2 linked regions of the Bombyx mori genome follow. The protein of the gene in region 1 purifies or fractionates together with the protein of each later gene. This does not show direct contact. Links are inferred from orthologs where the notes say so. Each region holds a gene or a part of one and is shown in the gene's direction. Other genes may lie near its edges. The genes, in order: RNA cytidine acetyltransferase and THUMP domain-containing protein 1 homolog.

What was found.
Region 2: the proteins of RNA cytidine acetyltransferase (region 1) and THUMP domain-containing protein 1 homolog purify together in Homo sapiens (co-immunoprecipitation; 3 studies listed by BioGRID and IntAct, counting the BioPlex papers as one, with this or other methods). This does not show direct contact. The link is inferred for Bombyx mori from reciprocal best matches to the Homo sapiens genes NAT10 and THUMPD1.

Annotation. Positions count from the first base shown.
Region 1 is NC_085120.1:8,061,163-8,065,601, reverse strand, and holds the start of RNA cytidine acetyltransferase, read left to right. Parts: upstream 1-1,362; 5' UTR 1,363-1,697; coding exon 1,698-1,805; intron 1,806-2,254; coding exon 2,255-2,349; intron 2,350-2,455; coding exon 2,456-2,615; intron 2,616-3,104; coding exon 3,105-3,241; intron 3,242-3,938; coding exon 3,939-4,101; intron 4,102-4,439. UniProt on the Homo sapiens protein: RNA cytidine acetyltransferase that catalyzes the formation of N(4)-acetylcytidine (ac4C) modification on mRNAs, 18S rRNA and tRNAs.
Region 2 is NC_085128.1:7,272,484-7,275,850, reverse strand, and holds THUMP domain-containing protein 1 homolog, read left to right. Parts: upstream 1-1,635; 5' UTR 1,636-1,793; coding exon 1,794-2,669; 3' UTR 2,670-2,810; downstream 2,811-3,367. Other genes in the region: pancreatic lipase-related protein 2, read left to right, coding at 792-873. UniProt on the Homo sapiens protein: Functions as a tRNA-binding adapter to mediate NAT10-dependent tRNA acetylation modifying cytidine to N4-acetylcytidine (ac4C).

The DNA of each region.
Region 1 (4,439 bases):
GTGTGTTGACCGGATGATTTCTGCATTTGGTGATGAAACCCCATCCAAAACCACAATTTATCGCTGGTTTGCTGAGTTTCAACGTGGACGTGTCAAACTCAGTGATGATCCCCGTCAAGGTCGTCCAAAAACTGCAGTCACCCAAGAAAACGTTGATGCTGTGCGTAAGCTGATTGAGGAAGATCGACATGTGACATACCGCGAAATTCAGGCAACTTTAGACATTGGCATGAGTCAAATACAAATAATCTTGCATGAACAATTAGGTGTAAAAAAGTTGTTTTCACGATGGATACTGCATTCGCTCTGTGAAGAGCAAAAAGCGGCTCGCGTTACTTGGTGCGTCAGAACTCTCGAAAGATTCCACGCAGGATCCTCAAATGCTGTATACAACATTGTATCAGGTGACGAATCCTGGATATACGCGTACGAACCCGAAACAAAAAACCAGTCACGAGTTTGGGTGTTCGCAAATGAGTTAAAGCCAACAAAAATTGTTCGTTCACGGAGTGTTGCAAAAAAAATGGTGGCCACGTTTGTCTCCAAAACCGGCCATGTTACGACTATTCCTCTTGAGGGACAAAGAACGGTTAATGCAGAATGGTATGCTAGCATTTGTTTGCCACAGGTCGTTTCTGAACTCCGTAAAGAGAACTGCAACCGCCGCATCATCCTCCATCACGACAATGCGAGTTCTCACACCGCGCAGAAAACAAAAGAGTTTTTAGAGCAAGAAAACATAGAATTATTGGACCATCCGCCGTACAACCCCGACCTAAGCCCTAATGATTTCTATACTTTCCCTAAAATAAAGAATAAATTGCGTGGACAGAGATTTTCATCACCTGAAGAAGCTGTGGACGCCTACAAAACGGCCATTTTGGAGACCCCAACTTCGGAATGGAATGGTTGCTTCAATGATTGGTTTCATCGTATGGAAAAATGTGTCAAATTTCACGGAGAATACTTCGAAAAGCAATAAATACAATTTTAAATAGTAATGTTGTGTCACTTCGTTAATTCCCGAAATTTTCAGTGCCGCCCTCGTATAACCTAACCTCTTAAATCTTTTTGTTAACTCACCCTTTGTATTATTTATCTCCACGCTCAAAACGCTCTTTAATCCATTCCACTTGAGTTTATGACAGTAACGCTCACAAGCAAGTGGAACGGGAAAAATTGCGGTCGTGAGTGTGTTCGTTGAGAACGCTTAGTGGAACGCACCCTATAAGATTAAATTTAGCAAAAAATGTTGAAAGAGCCTTGTAAACTTATTTTGCAATTATTGTCGTATTTATAATACGAAATTGGTTGCACTATTTTTTTACTATGGGTCATTCTGACACGTTTAACCGAATGAATTATATAGTTTAGCCTAGTTTAGTCTGGTCTAGACCTAGCCTGGTCAGGCCTAGCCTGTTCTGGTCTAGTCTAGTCCGAGCTTGTCTAGTCTAGTCTCGCCTTACTTATATCTTCAAATCTCGTTTCGTCTACTTTTAGTTTACCTTACATTAATAAGCTTGGCTTCAGCTTTTGTAATAAGTCTTGGTAGTATGGGCTGTATTGTCTTTGCCTGTCTATTAGATCAATCAAACAAATAACATGAAGTGTGCTTTTGTTTTGAATTTTAGGTTATAAAATTTTAAACAATATTTAACGCTACCTAGTTTAATAGATTTGATTGAACATATCCGAAAATGGTGAAAAAGAAAATTGATAATCGTATCAGGGTTATGATAGAGAATGGAGTTAAACTTGGCCATCGCACCATGTTTCTTCTCATTGGAGACAAAAGCAGAGATCAGGTAAATGAAAAATTCTTCAAATAATAAAATAAGCATGGTGATAAAATTAAAGACTTCATGTTAAGCAGATACAAGTACACAGTATACAAGTACCTATGTACTTTTCCTGTCTTTAAAACTTAAGTATCTAAAAACAATACAATTGTAATACATATCTACATTGATATTTGAATATTGGCTTTATATTTATGAAAATGTACGGTATTAAAATTTGTGATGCACATATTATATTTCTAAATGTAACTAATTTTTCTGTGAGAAAAAAACATTTCTATCATTAAAATTTCTCAGACACCACAACAATTATTCCTGCCTGAGCTTCGATCAACTGAGATATCAAGTTGCAATCAGAACAATTGGTACATTAGCTATCTATATCCAGCAAGACGTGTCACGCAAATCGCATTTTAAATCAATTTAACAAAAAATCTTAAAAAAACTTATTTCAGGTGCCCATTTTATATGATATGTTAGTCAAATCGACAGTAAAGGCTAGGCCAACAGTACTCTGGTGCTATAAGAACAAAGATGAAGCAATTAGCAAGTAAGTAACAATTTTTAGACAATTGTATTGTAACAATAGTTAACTACCCAAAACAATACATGATTTCATACTTTAAGAATATTGATTATAAATGAATTCCTTTTAGTCATGGTCGTAAAAGAGCCAAGAAAATAGCAGCTGGAAAACTGGAAGTCTCCGAAGAATCACTGTTTGATGCATTCAGAGTGGCCACTACTATTCACGGTAGATATTATTCAGAAAGTCATGCAATGCTCGGTCAGACATATGGAGTTTGCGTTTTGCAAGTAAGTTACAAATTAAAAAGACATGTTTTGAAAGGTATGCCATATAAAGCTACACCAAAAACTAGAGTGGCTCATGTAAAATTTGGTTATTGGCTACCATCCAGTAACTACATTTTTTCATGGTAAAATGCAAACAGTAAAAAAACTTTCAATTTTTAAATTAAATTTTAATTTTTTACTGGTGGTAGGACCTCTTGTGAGTCCGCGCAGGTAGGTACCACCACCCTGCCTATTTCTGCCATGAAGCAGTAATGCATTTCGGTTTGAAGGTTGGGGCAACTGTTGTAACTATACTTGAGACCTTAGAACTTATATCTCAAGGTGGGTGGCGCATTTACGCTGTAGATGTTTATGGGCTCCAGTAACCACTTGACACCAGGTGGGCTGTGAGCTCGTCCATCCATCTAAGCAATATAAAAAGACAAAAACCAATGATGATCTGACATGAGGTCAAATTTTTGGTTTAATGTATATGACGTTTATTTTTAGGATTTTGAAGCTCTCACCCCCAATTTGATGGCACGAACAATTGAAACTGTAGAAGGGGGTGGTCTTATAATATTCTTACTTAAAACCATGGATTCTCTGAGACAACTACATTCAATAACAATGGATGTACACTCAAGGTATTATTCTGTTCTTAATCACTACATAGTATAAAACAAAGTCGCTTTCTCTGTCCCTATATCTGTCTGTCCATACATAGGGGCAAAATTGTAATTAGGTACTAGTGATGGTGGTAGGGCGTTTTGTGAGTACCTTATATAAGAAACTAAATACATATCTATACTATCTATAATAATATTATATAATCACTACACAGTATAAAACAAATCGCTTTCTCTGTCCCTATATCCCTATGTATGCTTAAATCTTTAAAACAACGCAACGGATTTTGATGCGGTATTTTTTAATAGATAGAGTGATTGAAGAGGAAGGTTTATATTTATAATAATATCCATTAAATAGTGGAGAAATCAATAATAAATTACAGTTTCCGAAGCGAGGCGAGGGCGGGTCTCTAGTTTCTAATACAATACTGTAATGAAAAAAATAACTTTTAAATAAAGTATGTTGTGCCATTTGTATTATTATTATTTATATACACGAATTGACAAGCTCTCTTGAAGAGTTGCTCTACAATAATTGATCCCAATTAAAATGCAAATTGCCCTACTACATTTAAATACCATATCATTATAATCTCATGAGAACAGTATAAACGTCCAGTGACAACTACAATTTTAGTTAATTTAATATTTTCACAATAAATTTTATAATACTTTTAAGAGAAATAAAATAAAATTTATATTTAATTTACAGATTCAAAACTGAAGCTTATGACACAGTGGTCAATCGTTTCAATGAAAGATTTCTATTGTCTCTAGCAGATAACCCTAGATGTTTGGTACTTGATGATTCACTGACGGTTCTGCCGATATCATCCAAAACCGCCCAAATCGACCCTGTAGATGCTACACCAGAGGTAACAAATAGATTTTTGAAATTTTAATAGTAATTTATATATTATTTTGATGAATACAATGGAGGCCAACAAAATGGTTATGAATTTTGAGAGATAAAATTATAAAATTTATATATGTAATGCAAATTTCATTTCGATCGGCTCATTGTAATTTGGTTGGTGACTCTGACTACAATACCACAAACACTATGTCTGTGTTAGATTTCAGTTCAGAGTCAATATCATAATGAAAGATATTTGGTATTTGGGGACTGAGTGTCCCATTAAATAAAATAAAATATAATTACGTCAATGTAAAAAAAAATACTAGACAGAGAAAACATTTGTAGAATATATCA
Region 2 (3,367 bases), on another chromosome or scaffold:
AAGGAAAATAGGGATGATCACAGAAGGACGAAGTAATCGTGGCCTTAAAGATAATACGCACGGTGCATTCGTATCGAGCGATGCGTCTGTGCCGGTGTTCGAATCCCGCAGGCAGGCACCAATTTTTCTAATGAAATAGGTACTTAACAAGTATTCACGAATTACTTCCACGTTGAAGGAATCGCATCGTGTAATAAAAATCAAACTCGCAAAAATTATAATTTGCGTAATTAAGTACTGGTGGCAAAGCGTCTTGTGAGCCCGCATGAGCTTGCTCCGCTTTTTCTGCCGTGAATCAACTGGTGGAGTTGGAATAGCCCTTTGACGCTATCAATAATTGGGGAGGGGAAAAACAAAAATGAATCTAATCAGTGCTCCCCAATTGCGCTATCCGAATACTGATACCATAAATAACTCACGTCACGATTACTGGCGGTAGGACTTCTTGTAAGTCCGCGCGGGTAGGTACCACCACCCGGCCTATTTCTGCCGTGAAGCAGTCATGCCTTTCGGCTTGAAGGGTAGGGCAGCCGTTGTAACAATACTTGAGATCTTAGAACTTATATATCAAGATGGGTGGCGCATTTACGTTGTAGATGTCTATGGGCTCCAGTAACCACTTAACATCAGGTGGGCTGTGAGTTCGTCCACCCATCTAAGCAATAAAAAAAAACGTCCGAAGCACTCTTAACCCTTGTCGCTTGAAGGTCGGAAGAATGTTTTTTCTTGTTTCAGAAATTAATTATTTCAAAATAACCAATGACTAAGAACTCCCAAATTATTTGTTACAGAATAACGGTATGCCCAAAAATGAAAAAACCTGTCGTCAACAATCTGCCAACGGTCATGAAAACGAAATACTGCAAGTTCTAAGAAAATTAAATGAACCACATTACAATAGCAATGCAATTGTTAATTTATTAAGTCTACGAAAAGTATTCTTTTAGTATTCTATCAATTAGATTTAAGCACATGTTGGATATTTGAACTGTTAAGGAAATTAATACGTAATTTAATATTTAGATTACTTTATTAAAGTGTAATCAAACAAAAACATATTTTGCTTTAATTTTTCGTATTTTACAATGTAGGTATTGTTTAAGCCTTTAGAGAAATCGTTTCTAAAGCAGAGAAGGGAAAAATATATCACATGTCAATGAAATAAAGAATACTCTTTGAATCAAGTTCAATTTGGCTAAATGCTTTTTCATTTAAATATTTACAAAATACATACCATACTATTAAAGAGAAAACTTGATTAGTCTCAGGGACCTACCTACCTATAATGAATCTGAGAAACGTTTTATTTGCTATTCGTATAAATTTTTGAACAGAAAAACTATTCAAAGATGGTTCCGTGGCGAATACAATAGTCGACTGTAACTGTATCAGTCTGTATCAGGTTCTGTCTAGGCGCCGTTACAAAGTTAATTCTTTCGTGATTGGTTCTATGATAAATACGCATCCAAATCCCTCTTCGATATGTCAGCTTATTTTGAAAATGTTAGTGCGATTCAGAATCCTGTCAAATATGTTATATTCTCTAAAAGTTAGGGAAAAAAATATCAAAGAACATTTTTGCGCTAAATAGGCTCAAAAGCTCAGCTACCACTTGCCGTTAGGAAAATGTCAAAACAGTGACAACTTTGACCAGTGACACTTGCGTTTCAAGCGGTTTGTTGGAAGGTTGGATGTTGTTGAGTTAGTAATTCAATTCAATACGTAACATAATAATCTGTTATATCATCCATACTTATAAAGATCGATTGCATAGTTGATTCGGTGCATTCAACATGGGTGACACGAGGAAAAAGAAGAAATTTTACTTTAGGAAACGAAGAAACAAATATTTCTTAGAACCCGGCTTCAAGGGCTTCTTTTGCACGTGTAACTTTAGAGAAAAAGACTGCGTCAAAGAAGTATATAATCTTCTGAACGAATATGCCAGTAAACTCTACCCAGATTTAGATGTGGAGCAAGTTCCACCGTCTGCAGTACCTGAGTCAGACGCTCCCGAGGATAGGTCCGAGAGCGAGTCTGAAGATGAGACTGATATTGGAGACATACTAAGAAGGGAAGTGGATTCAATAAAAAAAAATTCGCAGAAATCTTTACGGTTTAAAAGATTTCAAGTGGTTGAAACGGGTGCATCAAATTGTATCTTTGTTAAAACCAATTTACCTAGTCCAGAGGAACTGACCACCGCCATTATAAAAGACCTAATCGCTACACGAATTCAGAAAACCAGACATGTGATGCGACTGCTTCCAATAATGATTACTTGTAAAGCAAACCTTCCGGACATAATGGAAAGCGCTGGAAAACTTTTTGATAAGTATTTCTTAAAAGAACCAACTAGCTTTTCTGTAGTTTTCAACAAAAGATTCAATAACAGTGTATCCCGAGACTTGATCATCAAAGAGCTTGCGGAATTAGTAGTTGTAAAAAACAGGGAGAACAAAGCTGACCTCAAAAATCCAGGTCTCTGCATTATAGTTGAAGTTATTAAAGGAATGTGCTTGCTGAGTATTGTTGATAACTACTTTACTTATAAAAAATATAATCTTAATGAAATATGCAAGGAAGAATCAAATGATTCTGAAGAATCACAGGCAAAAAAATTCAAGAGTAGCTTGAACTGTGAAACTGAGGAACAGAATACTCAATAAATCTACATATTTCCCTAGAGTTTTTCTACATTAAATTTTTTTCTAACCTATCCCTAGGTTGCTGCGCCTGGAAGCTTATACCAACTCTTATACCAAATTTTCTACTTATTATAATATTTTTCATTAAAGTTTTAACCCTAATCTGTGTATTTTTTCACCTTAATTATGTTAACAATTACTTAGTTTTACAATAACCTATGTTATATTAAGGTTTTTACAAGATTATGTAACAAGAGAACCGCTTAATGCTGTGGCATTGGTTACATAACTGGCTGAAGGCTTAGTAGGTCACTTTGTGCCTCAAATTTATAGATAAGACTCTGTCATAAAAGTAAGTATATTTTATACTAGTTATGACCACAAAATGACTAATGAGCTATGACTATCTATCTGTTTGCTTATTAATAGTTCAAGTTAATAATTTGGACTGAAGAAAATTCTACTCCTGTAATGGCAATATTACTTTATGCCTTTATCAAATGATTTAGTTACATGTTGTATCGAAAGATGGCAGTATGCCATAAAATACTCCATGCTTCTATATAACTTCTGAAATATAATTTCTCTACTAAGTATTTTAATGTTGTTTTAGATCCTTCATTGTTAAATGGATAATTAGAAGTTTTTATTGGTAAGAGGTTTTCAATCAGATCAACAGCGTTATCTACTTGAATTTCAATCACCCATAGATGTCAATA